Linked DNA regions of Arabidopsis thaliana. Each later gene encodes a partner of the first gene's protein in a complex. Each region holds a gene or a part of one and is shown on either strand. Other genes may lie near its edges.

Region 1 (5,838 bases):
CAAAGTAACGCCATGACAGCCAAAAGATGAGAAACTCTCTCTTCCTTCCCTTCCCACAAACTCTAGCCTCTGTATCTATTCTTTTTCATTCTTTCAATGTAAAACAAACAAACAAAACAATGTTTACTACATTTTTGTTTTTGTTTTTGTCTTCAAAGTACTCTTGTTTATTAAGTGATTTATACAAAAGTTTACAAGTTATGTAGGATGAACTAAGGAAGCTTATGTTTATGGGTTAGAGAGACTACATTGGATGATTCTTCTAGGATTTTGAATCACCAAGAACCATCAACAAAGCCAACAGTATCTTTCACACAAGTTACTAATATCTTCTTAAATAGTTTTACTTTGTAAGAACCATTTCCTTGAGTGGGTTTACAATGGGACGGACTAACTTGCGTACAAAGACCGTTTTTTATTCACTATTCATAATTTTGGTCCGCAGTTTAGTAAATAGGAAAAAATATAAAAACTCTAGGGGAATTGGAAAACTAACCAAAAAAAAATATAATTAAGAAACTAGCATAAAAAAAAAAGCAATGATATCCTCTATATTTTATATATTAATTCCAAGTTTACCCCCTCTATCTCTTTCCGTCTACCTCTCTCTTCCCTTCTCTCTCCCCTCTATCTTTTTCTCTCTCTCTCTTTCTCTCTCTTTCTTTTTTTCTCCCCCTCTCTCTTTCTCCTCCCAATAAAGTTCCTACACCTACCTCGTTACTTGTTTTTTATTTCAAATTAGAGTCTCTTAATTACTTTAGGGTGATATTTGATTTGGGGGTTTCGAATTACAGAGCGAGGAACACAAGTTAGGTTCAGGGAATTGACTTTCGTTGTTGCACTTGATGATGAAATAGGGTTCCGTTGTTGCGCTTGGTGTATTGGTGATGAAATTGAGTTCCGTTGTTGCATTTTGAGAGATACTATTCTATTTTGTAAATAGTATACTATTTACGTATACCTTGTTCTATATACGTTTTAAAATGAATTGTTTGTTTTGATTAAAGATGTTAAGTGATTTCATTAATGTTTTAGATTTAAACCCTTGGGTTCCCTATATATTATCCCTTTAGGGTTTAGTATACTTCCATCAAAAAATATTGTCAATTTATATAGAACGTTATGTTATTCATTGACAACACTATTCACATCTAAATTATTTTGTGTCTATTTTCAAAAATTTAAGTCATGATATTTGTAGAAAACTATACAACTTTTTAATAGATATATCATGAACTTGAATTAAATTTTTTAAGATCAGATAATATGAGTTACAATTGAAAAGGAGTAAAGAAAAAAGAAAGAGAAAAGAGAATTTCTCTCCTACCACCTATTTCTCTTCTCACCTCAACACCAATAATAAAGTCACGTCAGCTCACACTAATCATTCTCCTTCTTCGCTGACGAAGCGTAACACCAGGACAGTGATGTCTTTTTACTCTCCTTGAAGGTTATTTACTACATTTACAAATTTATGGTGTTAGTTGGTTAATTATTTAGTAAAAAAGTGTTATATCTACAAATCACGCAAAACTCTATTACGGACCAACAAATAGTTTATTTGAAAGCAAAAAAACAAAACTTGGTCCGTAACGGATTATTGTCCGTCTTAGAAATATAATGGTCTACTCCGCAAACAGATTTGTCCGTCTTAGCGACATATTGGTCTAGTCTGCAAACGGATTTATCCGCTCTGTCTATTTGTTGCAACCTTGTAAGTTTTCAAAGAGGAAACACATATATATGTTATGGATTCGGTATGTTATTATATTTCCCGGTTCTATTTCTCAAACACACTCTCTCGTCTTCTCCAATAACTAACTTCTCCAAATCAAAGCCTTCTTCGAGATTTTGCGCATTCCTCGTTTTCTAATTCGTAAGTTTCTCTTTTGTGTGTGTTTCTAATCGAAACTTTTGTGTCAATTTCAAATCGGAAACCTAATTAATTTGTTCAATTCGCTGTGATGTTAAAAACCCCTAATTACGTTAAATTTGGAATTAGGGTTTGTGTATTAGCTCTGTGTTATCAATGGAGACACAGCCGCAGCAACCACCTCCTCCTCCGGTAGCTGAGAAGCTGAATCCAAAACTGGAGAAGGAACTGAATCTGGAGTCGTTGAAGACACGAGCCGTTAGCTTGGCCAAAGCCATTGCTCGAATCCTTGAAGATTTCGACGCTTATGGTCGAACCAACACTACTCCTAAATGGTTCATCATCATCGAATCCAGAATTTGATAATATTTTGATGTTTATGAATTTTTTGTAACAAGGATTGATTTTCTTTTTGTTTTGAACAGGCAGGATATTCTAGGGCAGTATTCGATGGTAAATCTCGAGCTTTTTAACATTGTGGAAGAAGTAAAGAGAGTTTCAAATGCGTTTGTTGTGCTTCCTAAGAACGTCAATGCTATGAACGCTGCAAGTATGGTCTTTTTTTAGTTGTTTTAGTTGATGAGTTAAATGAATTGTGAATGTGATGAACTGGTTTAGCTTAGCATTTATCAGTGAATCTGCAGTTTTACCGGTTATGTTGTCTTCGAAATTACTACCGGAGATGGAAACTGATGACAATGCCAAGAGAGAGCAGTTGCTTCAAGGTGTTCAGAGTTTGCCTATACCAATGCAAATCGAAAGGCTTAAGGTTAGTTTTGTAATGTATTTTTGTTGTGATTTGTTTGCTGGTTTTTGAAATGGTATCTGTTATTACAGGCGAGGATGGATATGATTGCAGCAGCTTGTGAAAATGCAGAAAGAGTATTAGCTGATACTCGTAAAGCTTACGGATTTGGCACTCGTCAAGGCCCGTCTATGCTTCCTACTATGGATAAAGGTCAAGCTGCAAAGATTCAGGAGCAGGAGAAAATGCTACGAGATGCTGTAAATGACGGTAAAGGTAAGAGGGTTTTAGAATTTATTGAGTCATTTGATAGTGTACGAAACTGCAGTTTTCTGTTTTGCTGAATTCCTTCTCATGTTCTTTTACAATGGTTGTTTCTAGGAACACAACTGCCTCCAGACCAGAGACAGATAACCACTGCACTTCCACCACATCTGGCAGATGTGCTAATTATCAATGATGCAGGTAACGATTTCATTGATCTGTCTGGTAGAAGTAAACCCAATGCTTGAATCTTCTTTATTTTGTTACTACTACCAATGGTATTCTCACGTTGTTAATGGCTCCAAAAATTCTCTTTCATTAGGTAAGATTGCATTACCTGGGCAATCAAACAACATTAACAATCAAGGAATGATGCAGGTTAAACTAGTTTATTCTCTCTAGTTGTGATGATTATTACTTTTGTTAGTATCATTGTCTTTCGAGGTTCATGTCTTTGTGTGTTTTTAGGTTTCCGGGACTCAATTTGTGGGAAGATCAGCTGCATCTCCATCTGGTCCTAATTTTGATAACACAACATCTCCCTTACCATATTCCAATTCTCCTCGCGCTACGGGTATGGTTAATGTGCCTTCGCCTCAGCATCAAATCCAGCAACAACAGTTTCAACAGCAGCAGCAAAGGTCAAAATTAATGCAGTTGCCTCAACATCAGCAGCAGCAACTACTTGCACAACAACAACAACAGCTCAGGCAATCTTCTATGCAGGGATTGGGTCAAGTAGGCTTTGACATTTTGCAGACGTAGCAATTGACTGTTTTTTCCTACCATACTGCTTTATTGAGCAACATGCTAATTCTTTGTGTAGAGTCAGATACCAGCACTTCATGATATGCATGGGCAAGCTCAGCAAAAGTTTCAGACGGTAAGATAAATAGAACTACAACATAGTTAGGGGATAGATGTGTGAAGTGAAAAGGATCAGACACTACCTTGGTCAATTATTTGTATCATTATGCAGTAGTTATGGCCATAAATGAAGATGACTAGACGTATTTATACAAGTTTACATATACCAAGTGAATGATTCATACTCTTGAAAAGTTATCCTAGATCTTGGGACTTGGCAGAAGCTTTTATATAAAAGTAACTGTGACAGTTCGTAGTTTCAAACAGTAGAATCAAATGAAATTATGAAACAAGCTTTTGTCTTTTAAGTGTGAGTTTTATCTTATTTTTCAGTCACATGGGCAACATCAAATGCCATATTCCCAGCCAATGGGCGCGCACCAACAATTCCAAGCTAGACAGCTCTCAGGTGGACATATTCAGCATAGCATGTCTCAAGGACAGCTCAATCCAGCGATGAACCGTCACTTAAACCAGTTTTCAGGTGGAGCCAATAGTGCATTGTTTACTTCTGCACAAGGCTCCCCAAGTAGCCAAATGGTCAGTCACCTCTCTTTAACCTCTTGAATTGATGATTCGAAACAATTACTAATCATATTTTCTACGTACTTTTTCTTTTAATTCTAGATACCAAACATGTCATCTATGCAATCTCAGACACTTGTTCCTAGGATGCAGGTTAGCTCAAAAACTCCTCTACTCATTATGTTTCCCAAATCTGAACGATGAACATTGTCTTAATCTGATGATCTCTTTGGATTTTTATGGTTGTCAGCAATTTGGAGTTTCGGGTACCAATCCCCAAAGAAGCCATTCGTCTCAAATGTTGGGTGACCAGAGTAAGTAAACAAATCTCTTCTAAAACATGTTTTCTTACATCAAAATCGATTCCCTGACTATTTCATTTGTCCTATCTTTACAGTGTTTAACACCAGCGGAATGATGCAAACACAGCAAACACAAATTCAGCAATCGCAACAGCAGCAGCAGCAGCAACAACAAGGAGGCTATGGAAATATGCAGACGAATCAGCAGAGTCTACAGCCTAATAACATGATGCAGAATGCTCAACAAAGGCACCAAAATCCTCAATAACCCCTTTTAAATAATTTGGGCTTGTAATGGGCCGATGCCTGTATTTTGTAGTACCAAAGGCCTGGCCCATTCTTTAACATTAATACACTCACCAGATTTCTCTAGTTGTATGGTACTTTCACACTACACTAGTACACTTTGTTTACTTGTATCATTGTATGAGGTTAAAAACGTGAAGCAGAGATTGGACGGTGGAGGATTGTTTTCGTTCTGACATGTTTATTGAGAATTCGACACGTGGCATCGACGTGAACATCTCGACGCCGTTGATGGGGTTATAGAGACAAAACGAAGACGCGTTTCTGTTGTACACGGGACTCGAGAGAGCGACGTGTCTATGAAGTTTACCTGTTTTCTGAACTTTAAACAGAGAGCTTTAAAACTGCGACTCGAAAGCTATTAAATTTTCTGACAATTTGTTTTGTTTCTTGTCAACTTAATTTTATATACTCATTTTTTATGTACTTATTTAGCTCAACGACTCGTTTAGTTACCTCAATCAAATTTTGAAATTTAGTTACCATTTCTTTTAAATTTTTTGTTTGCTTTTGTTACAAATATGAAAAACTAGTTTACTTTGGTTTTTAGGAATTTGCGAAAAAATCACTCAAAATCGCTTATTTTTACAATTTATTGTGCACATTCAAAAAATGCAAAATAAATTTATAAAATTTAAAATAATACACAATATAATTTATTTGTGCGATTTTGCATATGTTATAAACGTTTTCACTATAACATATATTTGTATTCAAAAGTTTTAAAGATATAATTGAACTCATCATCTCAAAGGCTTTGATTTGATATATTATTTTCTTTAATATAAATATTCAATGCATAATTTTCTTTAAATTAATTTTATATAAAATAAATATTTTACTATATATTATATGAAATAAATGCTTTATTATAGGGAAAAAACCCAAAACAAACCTCAACTTGTTATGAATAAAGATGGATGCTCATTATAACGCCCATCATCTAAACTCATCAT
Region 2 (4,459 bases), on another chromosome or scaffold:
GAATGACATATCATACATGATCAAGGCAGGTGATGATTACTGAGCTTACTTACTTTTAACATGCAAAGACAAAAACAAACAAAGGTAAATACATTATAAAAAAACAAAGAGGTTCGTCTCCTCCTAATTCTCCATCTCCCTCCTAATTCTCCATCTCCATCCTCTTTCTCCTGTCCATATCCATCTTAATCTTCATCTCCATCCTCTTGTGAAGAGAAATAGAGTGAGTAAGAGGAGAGTCCATAAGGAGAAGAAGATTACTTTGATGGCGGATTCGTCCATGCTGATGATAAATTGACAAGACCGACTGCTAGGGTTCCAAAGATATTTGACAGGATTTAGCTTTGAACAAGGTTAATTTTTTTTTGTTCAACTATTTTTTGTTGATTCCCTTATAAAGCTGTTGTTGTTGTTCAGATACTTACGTGTAGTTACGAACAAACTGTCGGGTCTTCAATTTAGTTTAGCCCTGCGTTAAGCCCATATTGGTCTAATCTTCTTATGAATCCGTTATGGTTATAATAGTTCCCGTTAAGCCGAAATTGTAATAATAAATGTTGAACCGCACTAACCGGCGGAACTAAATGCCGGTTCACGGGTAACATTGAATAAAGATGATATAGGCTTTACTTGTTGAATCATGAGATTGCACACGTCTGTCTCTCTCTCTCACACACACAGGATCAATTAAAAAAAGTTTCGAGGGCATAGGTTATTAGCGCTAATTTACACAAAATGGGATTAACAAAAAGTATACTTTATTGACCATCTAAAGTGACGAAAGCATCCTTAAGAAGTCCTTGTGCTTCTTCTCTCCTCCTGCACACAACCAAAACATCAAACGGACCCATAAGAACAACCAACAAAGCTTCTGAAGAATCTTTAAACAGATGATAGATTGATATTAAATTATTAACACACCATAAAGACAGAAAACTTAAGTAGCATATACAAACCTCTTAATGTCTTCCACAGCTTGTTTCCTCTGTTGAATTTGAAGTTCCATAATGTGAATAAGCGTTGCTCTCGCCTATACAACAAGAGAAAGATCAAAACGATGAAAAAACAAAAAGTGTTGAAACCATGTTGTAATTAATCGAAAGATGAGAGCTTCTTTACTTGGTGAGGCCTCAAGGAATTGAGAAGGTGATGCAAGTTCTTGAAGATTGAAGAAATTTCACCAATTCTCTTCGCATATTGAGAAGGTCTGTCAACAAGAACATCAGCAAGCTCCAATATATGTAACTGTAGTTCTCTATTCAGTGACCTGAGTTCCTTCTTGTAATCTACACACAAAGATATTTGAACTCAAAGAGGTACTTTCAAAGAACATAACTTGCAAATGAACTCATGTAATAAGTTTGATTCCAATGAAGGGAAGAACCAAAAACCATACTCTAGACAGCCAATAGCAATTGCATTTTGAGTTTGATTTCACAGAGTTAGGAGAATGACATACCAAGATTAGAATCTTTTGGATAAAGTTGAGGCACTCCTTGTTCTTCTAAGCTTGGAAGAACATCTTCAGTCTACTAACCAAAAAAATTGAAAATTGCTAAAAACACATAAAGATGAAGATTTTAAAGAGGGGGAAATGTGGAGGAGACTCACAGTATAGTTGCCTCCAAAACAGACGTAGGTGCCTTCAATCGGAGGAGGAGGTTCAGGAGCAGAATCAGTGTTTTCTGAGAAATCCTTGTAGAGTCTGTAATATGGAGGAGGAGGTGGATATGTAGCTGTAGCCATTATTCTCTACATATCCAAATCAAAAACTAAGCAAAATCAGTAACAGATTCCTAAAATTAGGGTTTCTAATCAAAAACAAATCCGTCTACCGCCATAAAACAATCTGTTCTCATTAGAATACAACTATGTCATCACTACCAAATAACTCTGCGACCACTAGAAACTAATCTGTCATCACTAGAAACTAATCTGTCATCGTCACGTTGAAGTAGCCGCCACCACCACAACCGTGTTATTCCTAAATCACCACCAATTTGTCCAAAATCGTCAAATGCTTAACAGTAGATTTCAATTGATTCATGAGGAAAAAAGAAAGGTCAATACAAAAAATCCAGTGGCCACAAATGGGTAGGGAGACGAATGAGTTGGTGGCGACAAGGAGAATCTGAGGGAGAGAAATAAAAAAATCCCTTTCACGGGAAGCATAAAAGACAGAGTGAAAATAATAGAACTCACTGGAGATTCGCCAGAGAGATGGCTCGGCGGAGAATTCACGCAGCCGGAGAAGACGATCGGAAGAAGACACGCTCACCAGAGAAAGCAAATCGAGATTTGTTTCCTCTCTTTTAGTTGGGCCTTTAATTTAGTTCAGGCCTGCTTTAAGCCCATATATTCCTAATCTTCTTATTCCTCGTGAAGCTTAAAACGTATTTCTAGAGCCGTTGAGGGATTTGCTATATGGGGGAAGACTCTGTTCCACCCACCTATATCAGAATTCAGAACCATTTTATATGCTTCAAATGACAAAAGAAAAATGTTTTTAAAATATTGGAATTCAATTGTGCAAGTTTCGGTATAATTTGTTTAGGTGATCCTTGCAAGTTGCAACAACTACTTAACGGTTTTTGAGAAGCCTTGTAAAAAAGGTTTTGTTAGGATGGTGATGATGAATGTATGATGGGTGACGACTAATTATGTTTATGATTTTATTTATTTATTTATAAAGTATATGCTTTGCTTAGGTTGAGTAGTGAAGCTAGCTAGTTGGCAAGTAATGGCTTCTTTTGGCGGCCAAGCAATTCTCTATCTCTCTTTCACACACACAATCCTCGACGCCAAGACTTAAATCAATTCCTCCTGATTTATTCATTTTAAAATTGTGATGATACTAGCTTCACAATACACTCAAAAATATTCTTCTTAATGATCTATTGTATGTATAGTAACACGTTAGCAAAAGATAATCATTGAGAGCCAAAGACAACTAATGTGTATAGAGTTGAATGAGTAAAAGTTGGATATCAATCCAGCTCTAAGAAACTCATTATGTAGAATGAATATTAAAAAAACATGTGTTTCTTGAATTTTATAAATTGCTGTCACCGAGTTTATTAGTATACTATACTACAAAGACCTAGACTACAGTTACAAACTACGATAAGGGAGGTTACTTCATCGAATACATATTATTAGCTAATCACAAGATTAATAATGGTTTGATCAAATAATTGGATAACCAAAATAAAAATCAAAGTTTCTTAGAAAGAGGCGCAAACATAGGGAGTGATATTATATATTTAATTCGTTTTAGCTAATATCATTATAACTAAATATTGTATACATAACTAGAATCATGATTCATAATTGTGTGTTGTGTAATTGTGGGTTGGCTCAACTGCACATGAACTGCTCGACCCCAAAATTCGATTGCCTTTTACTTTCCAATTAATTAACTTAATTATTTAATCAGCAACTTAAGTGTACATATATCCGCAATGATTAGTAGTATTAAGAAACAAAAACAGAATTCGACGTATTTTCAAGTTAAATTTGTACTTTAGTAGCTTTTATATATAATAGTTGGTTTCAAATCTTTAATGTAATTTGTTACAAAACGTAATAAGTTTGCAGGAATTTATAATATGCTTGAATTGTGTGTGTTGTGGTACTGTGTTTCGTGTTGAAACTACTTGTGGATGACTCAAGCCATCAATATAAAATTATTTATAAAGTTTTAGGATTTTAGTTAGTGATAATGTGAAATCAAAGGAAAAAAAATCAATAAATTGAGTGGCATATTTAGAATACGCAATCCAGTTTGATTCTTCTTAATATAATACATTACATTCCAAGTGTCAAAATTGTAGTTCATTTTATTAATAAGAAAAAATGGTATATGTAGAATGACACCTTCTTGAACAGAAAACACAGATTTAATTTCATTTTCAGAAAGAAAATAAAATAACATCTTCTAAGATTAGTGTTGACATTGAATCCACATTTTTGTTACTTTAGCTATAATGATGTGTGTCTTTTGAAATTATAAGGATGCTTATGAGTATTTAATAAGTAAAATACTAGTATTTTTTTTTATGTGATTCATAAGACAAGCAAAACAAAAGTTAACCAAAAAAAGAGAAAATCATTTAAAAAAAATTGAAAGGAAAAAAATAAAAACAAGAAGAGAACAACAAGTGGTTCCAGGCTTGCAAACCAAAACTTCCAGAAAGGAATCCTTCACCAAAAGTTATTTTGGGTTTGCTTCTTTTCTCATCTTTTCTCTTACCCATTACATTATATATACACACAATACTATTGTGTGTATAAACAAATACAATCACATACAAATATATATAAATACTTAGACATATAAACCAAACCCACCAAACACTCTTTGATACTTCTCTCCATATATACATATACGACCTCTTGTGTTCTTGAAATACAGAGAGCAAATAAAAAACGGAGGATCATGACAAGTGTTCTTGAGGAG
Region 3 (7,693 bases), on another chromosome or scaffold:
TGAGACCTCCCAAGGAGAGTAATACAATCGCTAGCTCGTCTTTTCCCCATTTTCTTAGTCCATTGCTTAGACTCTTTAACACTTCTGTATCGATCTCTGTCACCCAGAGCGGCAAACAGCTCACCATTAGACTCACCAAACCGGAAATATATGTTCGCCAAGTTGCTGTTTCACATCCCACTGATATTTTCCCATCTAAGGCACTCGCGATGAACTCCAAGTGGCTTCCCAAGATTGCTTGGCGGCGGCGTTTGGATGCAGATGATCTTGAATCCACGCCCCAAGTAAGTGCTCCACATAGGACCACAAAGTAGGCAAGGGCATGACCTCTTAGCTCTGCAACTAGATCCGATGGTCCTTGTTCTCGGTCTGATTTGTCAGTTGATAGAAACCAAGATGGGATCGTTTCTTTGATGAGAACGTGGACCACACCTAAGCCACCGGTTAGCCATACCAACGAGGCACTCAGCGAAGCAGCAAGCTTCACTTGAGTCATTGCTGTTGCTAGAGAACTTTGGCCGTATCTTGATCCGTTCTTCACTGTCTTCAGCTTTTCCAGCTTCTCCTTTGAGAGCCTGTTCTGGGCTATATCCTCCACCGAATGTATCAGCAGAGAGAGAATCTCTTCCGATACGGAGACAGTATCTCTGAGAGCACGATACATACGGAGATAAAGAATCCCTGGTGCTACAGGAGAGATCCCTCCATAGAAATGAGAGCCGAATCCATGGCCAAGAAGAGCTCCAACGCCACCATCATTTGACATGGGGGCAGCATTCAAACCCAGAGTGGCACTGAAGCAGTTTCTGAGGAGCTGAATCACAGCGTCTTGGTTGTGAAGGAAGACGGTGCGAGAGGCAGAGAAAACAAGGAAGTCAAACCAACGTTTCGCCTTTTGGGTCCATAATGAAGCTACAATGGGCATGCAAGGCCAAGGGCAGCCTGCAGCCAAGCACTCCAGAGCTGGGCCAGCCAGGTTGAGAAACCGCTCTGAGGCTTTGTCAATTTTGTAAGTAATGGTTAGACTAACAAATGCGGCTAGAGGTAAAGGAAGCGTTGCCGGAGAACTCCCTCCTGCAATACCACAGCAAGAAGTCAACCATAAGTTCAAAAGACAACTTTAACTTTAACACATCAAATCAGGACAGGTAAAAAGCTTATTATAAAGAGAGGATGGTACAGACTACAGAGATGGTAAGCCAAACAAACAGACTGGCATTTTAAACACGTTGAATAGTTTTACCTGGAGCAAGGCTAGGGATATCGACGCCTGTTGTTGCAAGAATTTTCGTTATATATTCCTCAACAGTGGATAGATTTGTAGCTGGACTTGGCCAATCCACGCCGTTCATGAATACTGGCTTCCAAACACCTCTACTCACCTCAGCTGAGAAATAGCTTACTATCGTTGCTAATGATGCCGGGAGAAAATCTGCTAAGTCTTTCAGCCCTGAAAGAAAAACACTTGTTATTCTGTAAATAAATTCACTTTACTGTAAGAAATGCATCTGATATAACAACTGATCAACACAGTCAAACATCTCTCATTGGCATTCAGAGTTGCCAAAGGTCATATAGACGGATGTTATCGCACATGACAACACAATTAGGAATCTGATCCAGCAAAACAAAACAAACCTGTAGCTAACTGACGAGGCGAAAGCCTTCCATGAGTACAAGCGGTTAAAGCAGCATCGACAACATATGGAACGGCTTTGAGGATATCCCAAGCAGGAAACTCAGGTCTAATATTGCTATCTTCACTTGCAGCTCCTGATGAACTGCTTGTGCCCGAATTTACTGGATTTAAAGTCTGACTGCCTCTGACCTTTCCGAACGTCATGTTGAGAAGTGCTTCAACTGTCTGATGAACGGGAGATCCATGTGTAAGTCCAGATAATGTGGCTGCTATGCATCTTTGGTGCTGCCTATACCAGACTTTCAGCTTGGGGAACGAGTCCACAAACACGGGCTGGCAAGATGCTGCCCTTGCAACTTCTGAAAGTCTCTTTCTGTTTCGGTCTCTATCAAGGATCTCCGACGAAACAAGATAAGAATTACGCACTGAAAGAAGATGTTCAGGAGTGAGTTGGGAGCCAACTGTGGGAACATCTCCCACACCATGCTCAATAGGAGGATGATTGAATCTCCATAGCTTTAAAAGAAGAGTGAATGCATTTGAGAAAACAGAATATGCTGATATTGCTTCTCCAGAAGGAAGAGTCCATGATACACTCGGGGTGTAAGATCCAAACTCTTCACAAATTGGCATTAGTGAGCAAGCAAGTTGCGGAACCTAAAAAGTAGCCATCAAAATCGTACATTACATCTTTCAGCAAATTCACTATTAAGTCTAGTAAACTTGGAAGTACAATTTACATACCATGCCATGTAAAGAGAAAATTTGAATGCTGTCAACAGATCCTATCCCAACAATAACAACATTCAACATGCAGGCATAACCAATCAAATGATTTTCAGCCCTGGAATAATCTGCTGGAACGGGTGGGGATAGTAATCTTGTAAGATATTCAACAGTGTGTTCCTGTACATCGAAGAAAGATAGATAAATCAAACATGTCTGTTCAACCGAAAATTCTCACTGGTGGAGATTCTGATTAGTGGATTTAATGCCAACCTGTATGTTCCAACCCCGTGTGAGAGATGCCCCGCAAAGAACTGTAGCAGCAGATATCTTCTCGTCATCCGATCCTTTGACTGCAACCTCAAATAGTTTCTCGAGCTCTGCTAAGCTTCCATCAAATCCATGAGGTATTTCAGTTGCTTTACTCTCGGTAAATTAAAAAAAGAGCATTACCTGGCTAAGAAACAAAAAGGAATAACTGAAGAAGAAGCAGAACTTAAGTCAAACTAGAATGCAACCACTATTCTCATTGTGGCAATGGTTTCCTTAGGTTACGACTTTGAAACTCCGTAGCTTAATTTTGTATAGTAATTTTAAATTACCACTGACTGTATGATTTGGAGGGAAGACTATGTGGATGAAGTAGTGTGGAGCTAATAGAGCAAAAAGAAACAAAAAGAAGATAATAACTCATTCTACCTTGAAGCAGGAACTGAAACTAATGTATTCACCATTGCGGCATTTAGTGGAGCCCCTTTCACAAATGATGACCAGCAGGGTACTTCATTCGGCAGACTCTGAGGTATTTGGTTGATTCGGCCATTAACATAGCCAGGCCACGAATAAGCCGACATATCCAGTATGTTTCTTGCAATACAAGCCTCGACTATCAGGTGGCGCATGTTTCCAGCTACGGCATGTACATAAAGTATGTTAGGCACGAAAGAGGCCCATAAAATCAACAAATGAAGACAATCAAGCGACAATAATGAAGAATACGAAGACAAACAAATTGGTTTAACTTCAATTCAATAGAGCGAAATTTTATTAAACTTACAGCAGTTGACAGGCATGTCCTTCATGTTTATGACATCAAAACATGACTTTCCAACATTGCCACCAGACAAAAACAAGATTGCCTTTGTGGCAGCCTTGTTGGCAGCAGAAACAACGCATTTGGGAGGAGCCAGCAATCCAGGGAAATCACCGAGGACCTGCAAACTTGTAACAAGGTCATCTCGCAGCTTTTCCATGACAGATTCGTATTTCCCCTCTTCAATAAGGTTTGCGACCACAAGAGGCACAATACATAATGACATGCACAGCCTTGTGTCCAGTCGAGGAATAGGTCCCTCAATAGGATCCCTTTCCTAGTAATAAAGAAAAACGAGAAAATCAGAACAGCCATTAGATACGGAAAATCTAAACTTATCATGGATGACAGAGTAACAATCAAATAGTACAGCTTCAGTCAAGAGAAAGTGTGTAAGAAAGTCCTCTGAAACTGCAGGTAACAAAAGTCTTGGGAATTATAACCAAATAACAGAACCAATTACAAAAGCACACGGTGTAAGTAAAACTTGCAAGCAATAGCAATTGCACTTTTCTGGGTACCAAAGTAGTGGTGAAATCACAAACAGAAAGATCAGTAAGAGAGTAATCTAACCCTTTGAACAAGTCGGAGAGCTGCTATCCAAAGCCCCAAGAAAGTGTCATGCCAAGTGCTCCCATTAATTTCTTTAAGTGTTTTAGCTAGACCTGAAAATTTAATACTCCCAAGTCATTTCGTTATATATTTGAGATATCTTTTCTTTGGTCAAAGCCACAAGTGAAAGAAGATGGAGTCTACAAATTACCGGTAATGATTTCAATCGCACTAGTTGGGTTTACTTGATATCCATCCATTGCATCTTCAAATACTAGATCAAGAGGAAGCCAAAGTGAAGAGAGACTTGCTCCATGGCATAAGCCAGCATAGGAAGAGAGAGATCCAAAATCCACAATTGCATTGGATTTCCGTGCTGAAGTTACTTTGCTATCATAAGAATACCCAAATCGTCTATTCGAAATCAATTGTAATAGATCCCCAGAATTTAGAACCTTTGAGTGTTTTAAAGCCGATGAATTTTCTCCAAGAAGCTGCACTTTCTGGACAAATTCATGCCACTTCGAAGCCCTGAAAAGAAATGGATAGCAAATGGATTAAAAGAAAAACACTTTACTACAGAGACATTACTTGTCAAATTCAGGTCATGATTAAGCAAAATATCTGCCAATGCAAAGAACAACATAACTATGATGCCACTGAAAAAACTTTACTCTCGTTAACTATGATGCATACCTGTTGGAAGATACCAAGTATAGCAATCTCGCAATCACTGTATTTCTGAGGAATTCCGCTATCAACTCAATAGCCATGATGGTATTCAAACTCTGTAACTTCTCTAGTGATCCAGTCTTTTCATTATATCTCTCAGGAGCATCAATTTCCATATCTTGAGACTTAACTAGCCACTGGGAGCTCGAGTCTTGGCTTAGCTCTAGCAAACCTTCATCACTTAACGCTGCATCTAGCAATTGTGACACCATCTTAAAAACAAACTCTACTAAAAGCACACCAGGTTTGCTTGTGTCCAGATCAAATAACTCTGAAAGACGAAGAATATTGGATACTGAAATCATGACCCTGTACAAAGAAGAAGGAAGATAAATACCAAGTAAGCCAAAACAGTATTTTGTATTCTCTAATTCTACTTCTGAGTACAATGTTAATGGAAACATACATTTACTAACATTTTTCCTACAGAGCCAAGCATTTGAATGAAACAGTAAGTAAGAAGTATCAACAAAAAAAAACTCACTTCTGGTAGTGAGGTCCACTAATATGATCTTTAATGGTGAACATATTTCTCTTGAGCAGCTCCAAGTAAATTCTATAAGCTGCTTGTTGCGTAGACCGGGTTGGAACAACTCTGCAACAATCAGAAAACATAGAACTACAATAAGATAAAACCAAATCTAAGATCCATCACAAAATCGTAGAGATTTTCCAAACTATAATTCACCAACTCACAATCCAAATTACGAAATAAATCATCAACACATAGAACCCTAAGGAAACAATCCATGAGCGATGAATCCAGACCTGTCAGCGAGAAGAGCAAGAACAACGAGAGGAGAAACAAGCTTCAAAGCCATAGCTCTTTCAAGAAACTTCCAAACAATAGGAACGTTATTATCCCAACAAATGTACGAAACAATAACCTCCGCAAGCTCCGTCGACGGTAACTCCACGGCGAAGAATTTCAAATTCGATGATAACTGAGAAGCCCAAAGACGAGGATCGACACAGTTCTCTTGAGCCATCTTTGTCAGCTCAATCACACAATCCCAGACGGTTCTCCGTCCAGGAACCACCATTTTTTCCGTTCAATCAACGAAGCTCTCTGAAGAAGAAGAAGAGCGGTTAAAAGATACAGGAACTCTTCAGATTTGATTTGGCGAAAAAAAAATAAACGCGTGTGCGTTTGTGTGTGCGTTTGCAAATGGCTGAATAGTCCTCGTGAGAGAGATGATTCAGTGCGTGTGAATTGTCCCGAGACGAAATATGAGAAAGACGTCAAAAGAGTTCACATTTCACAAATCTCTCCACTGTTTATGTCAACTTGTGTGTTATATTTCTTGAATTTATAAACAATTTTGGATTTTTTTTTATTTGAATTGAAATTTTTTAATTGATTTTAAAGTTAAAAGTACAAATTTCTTCTGATGGGTTCTACAAAATTTAGTTTATAATATATATATATATATATATATATATATATATATATATATATAGTTAATATGCATCTTTGTCAATAAAAGGCGTAAAGTAGATTTTTTAAATTAATCGGGAAAATTAAAAATTGGACAAATCTCCTAAATTTCCATTAAATTTCAACTTTTTTTTTTTTTTGTTATCCACTAAAAATTTTGCGAGTGACGAAAATGGTTAAAATCGTTGTGAGAAAATTCGAACTCTGCATAAAAAGACATTCATAAGAAATCTTTTAACTAGTGGACCATTACCATTTGGTTCTAAAAATGTATGTTAAGTGTTAACATAATTGTTGTAGACATTTTAAATGGCAAAATTATCTTACTTTCTTTTGTATTTCAAAAGTAATTTAAATTCAAAATAACTCCAGTTATTAAGAAAGAATCAAGGTGTATATATTTATTTTATGAATAATTGAAGTGAAAATTAAAAGTTATTGACCGGTGGGAGTTTATATTTTTTTTTTCTTTGAAAATCAATTTTGTTTTAAACAATAATAAGTTTAGATAGATGGTGGCAAGGGTGAGTTACAAAGCCATGATTTCGAAGTATGACTTTTGGAGGCAATTTTGCATGAAAGAGTAATGCAAGAAGAGCTTTTAGGTAATAATGCAAGATAATACCATTTTAGTCAAATTTTCCAGCTTTAGTCATGAGTCTAATTGATTAACATTACCATTTCTTGCCAGAAAAAAAAAAAAAAAAACATTACCACGTTCTATGGATCTTCTTATTTTCAACGCAGGGAGTAATCAGAAATTCTATACTGATAAAGATGGGTTAACAATATTTCTTCCAAGTTTTGTAATTTTTTGCATCCAATTTTAAATAAATAAATACAAATAACTTTCTTAAAAAAACTATCATTTTTAATAAATGAAAACTTAGAGAGAAAGAAGAGTTAAATTGGTAAATCGTAAAAATAATTTCTTTTTTTATGTAAAAATATATCCGTAAAAATTTAGCTAGTCATTTACGGACTGAACAGTTAAAAATATTTTATCCAACATCGTTGTAAATGGATGTAACAATAAGTAAAACATAAAATAATAACATAGAAAGAAAAAAATGTAGTGAAAATGCTCTAGAAGAAAAACCATGTTAAGTCTATAACCTAAATACAATTAAGAAATTAAATGCTAGTAATCTAGTTTTCCATGATATTAATATTGGACTGCACATAGTTGACAATTATAAGATTCATGTGGCGATTTATGAATTCTGATGGGATATTTGTCAAAGCTATATATTATGAAATTAAAGAGTTCGATAATTGGTCAAAGTGAAGTTGGTATCAAAGACATTTTTTTACTTTATCTGGAATCAGTAGCTTAGCTACACTTGAATACTGTATTAAATATTGGTCGTCCGAATAACAACAACAACGCATGGGGGAAAAAGTCAAAAAACTAGTTTAACATATTTTTGGTGAACAAAAAAAATAAAACAAGACATATTTTGGCTACAATCCGAAATTTCTTGGTAAAAAAGTACTTTATTTTTGGTACAAC

What was found. The genes of interacting proteins can lie anywhere in the genome.
Region 2: MED8 (region 1) and AT5G03500 share a complex: the UniProt entries of both Arabidopsis thaliana proteins name them as parts of the mediator complex.
Region 3: MED8 (region 1) and RFR1 share a complex: the UniProt entries of both Arabidopsis thaliana proteins name them as parts of the mediator complex.

What each region holds. Positions count from the first base shown.
Region 1 is NC_003071.7:903,949-909,786, forward strand, and holds MED8 (mediator subunit 8), read left to right. Parts: upstream 1-1,564; 5' UTR 1,565-1,876; intron 1,877-2,002; 5' UTR 2,003-2,029; coding exon 2,030-2,208; intron 2,209-2,298; coding exon 2,299-2,423; intron 2,424-2,517; coding exon 2,518-2,642; intron 2,643-2,710; coding exon 2,711-2,894; intron 2,895-2,999; coding exon 3,000-3,083; intron 3,084-3,204; coding exon 3,205-3,260; intron 3,261-3,350; coding exon 3,351-3,620; intron 3,621-3,708; coding exon 3,709-3,765; intron 3,766-4,082; coding exon 4,083-4,289; intron 4,290-4,376; coding exon 4,377-4,427; intron 4,428-4,524; coding exon 4,525-4,588; intron 4,589-4,671; coding exon 4,672-4,844; 3' UTR 4,845-5,324; downstream 5,325-5,838. UniProt on the Arabidopsis thaliana protein: Component of the Mediator complex, a coactivator involved in the regulated transcription of nearly all RNA polymerase II-dependent genes.
Region 2 is NC_003076.8:875,915-880,373, forward strand, and holds AT5G03500 (Mediator complex, subunit Med7), read right to left. Parts: upstream 2,462-4,459; 5' UTR 1,860-2,461; coding exon 1,836-1,859; exon of another isoform or gene 1,753-1,835; coding exon 1,612-1,752; intron 1,530-1,611; coding exon 1,460-1,529; intron 1,287-1,459; coding exon 1,120-1,286; intron 1,031-1,119; coding exon 957-1,030; intron 820-956; coding exon 759-819; 3' UTR 526-758; downstream 1-525. Other genes in the region: AT5G03510 (C2H2-type zinc finger family protein), read left to right, coding at 4,439-4,459. UniProt on the Arabidopsis thaliana protein: Component of the Mediator complex, a coactivator involved in the regulated transcription of nearly all RNA polymerase II-dependent genes.
Region 3 is NC_003074.8:8,465,730-8,473,422, reverse strand, and holds the start of RFR1 (REF4-related 1), read right to left. Parts: upstream 6,026-7,693; 5' UTR 5,786-6,025; coding exon 5,511-5,785; intron 5,338-5,510; coding exon 5,227-5,337; intron 5,052-5,226; coding exon 4,707-5,051; intron 4,542-4,706; coding exon 4,222-4,541; intron 4,124-4,221; coding exon 4,032-4,123; intron 3,736-4,031; coding exon 3,423-3,735; intron 3,276-3,422; coding exon 3,065-3,275; intron 2,754-3,064; coding exon 2,639-2,753; intron 2,546-2,638; coding exon 2,384-2,545; intron 2,297-2,383; coding exon 1,639-2,296; intron 1,451-1,638; coding exon 1,244-1,450; intron 1,075-1,243; coding exon 1-1,074. UniProt on the Arabidopsis thaliana protein: Component of the Mediator complex, a coactivator involved in the regulated transcription of nearly all RNA polymerase II-dependent genes.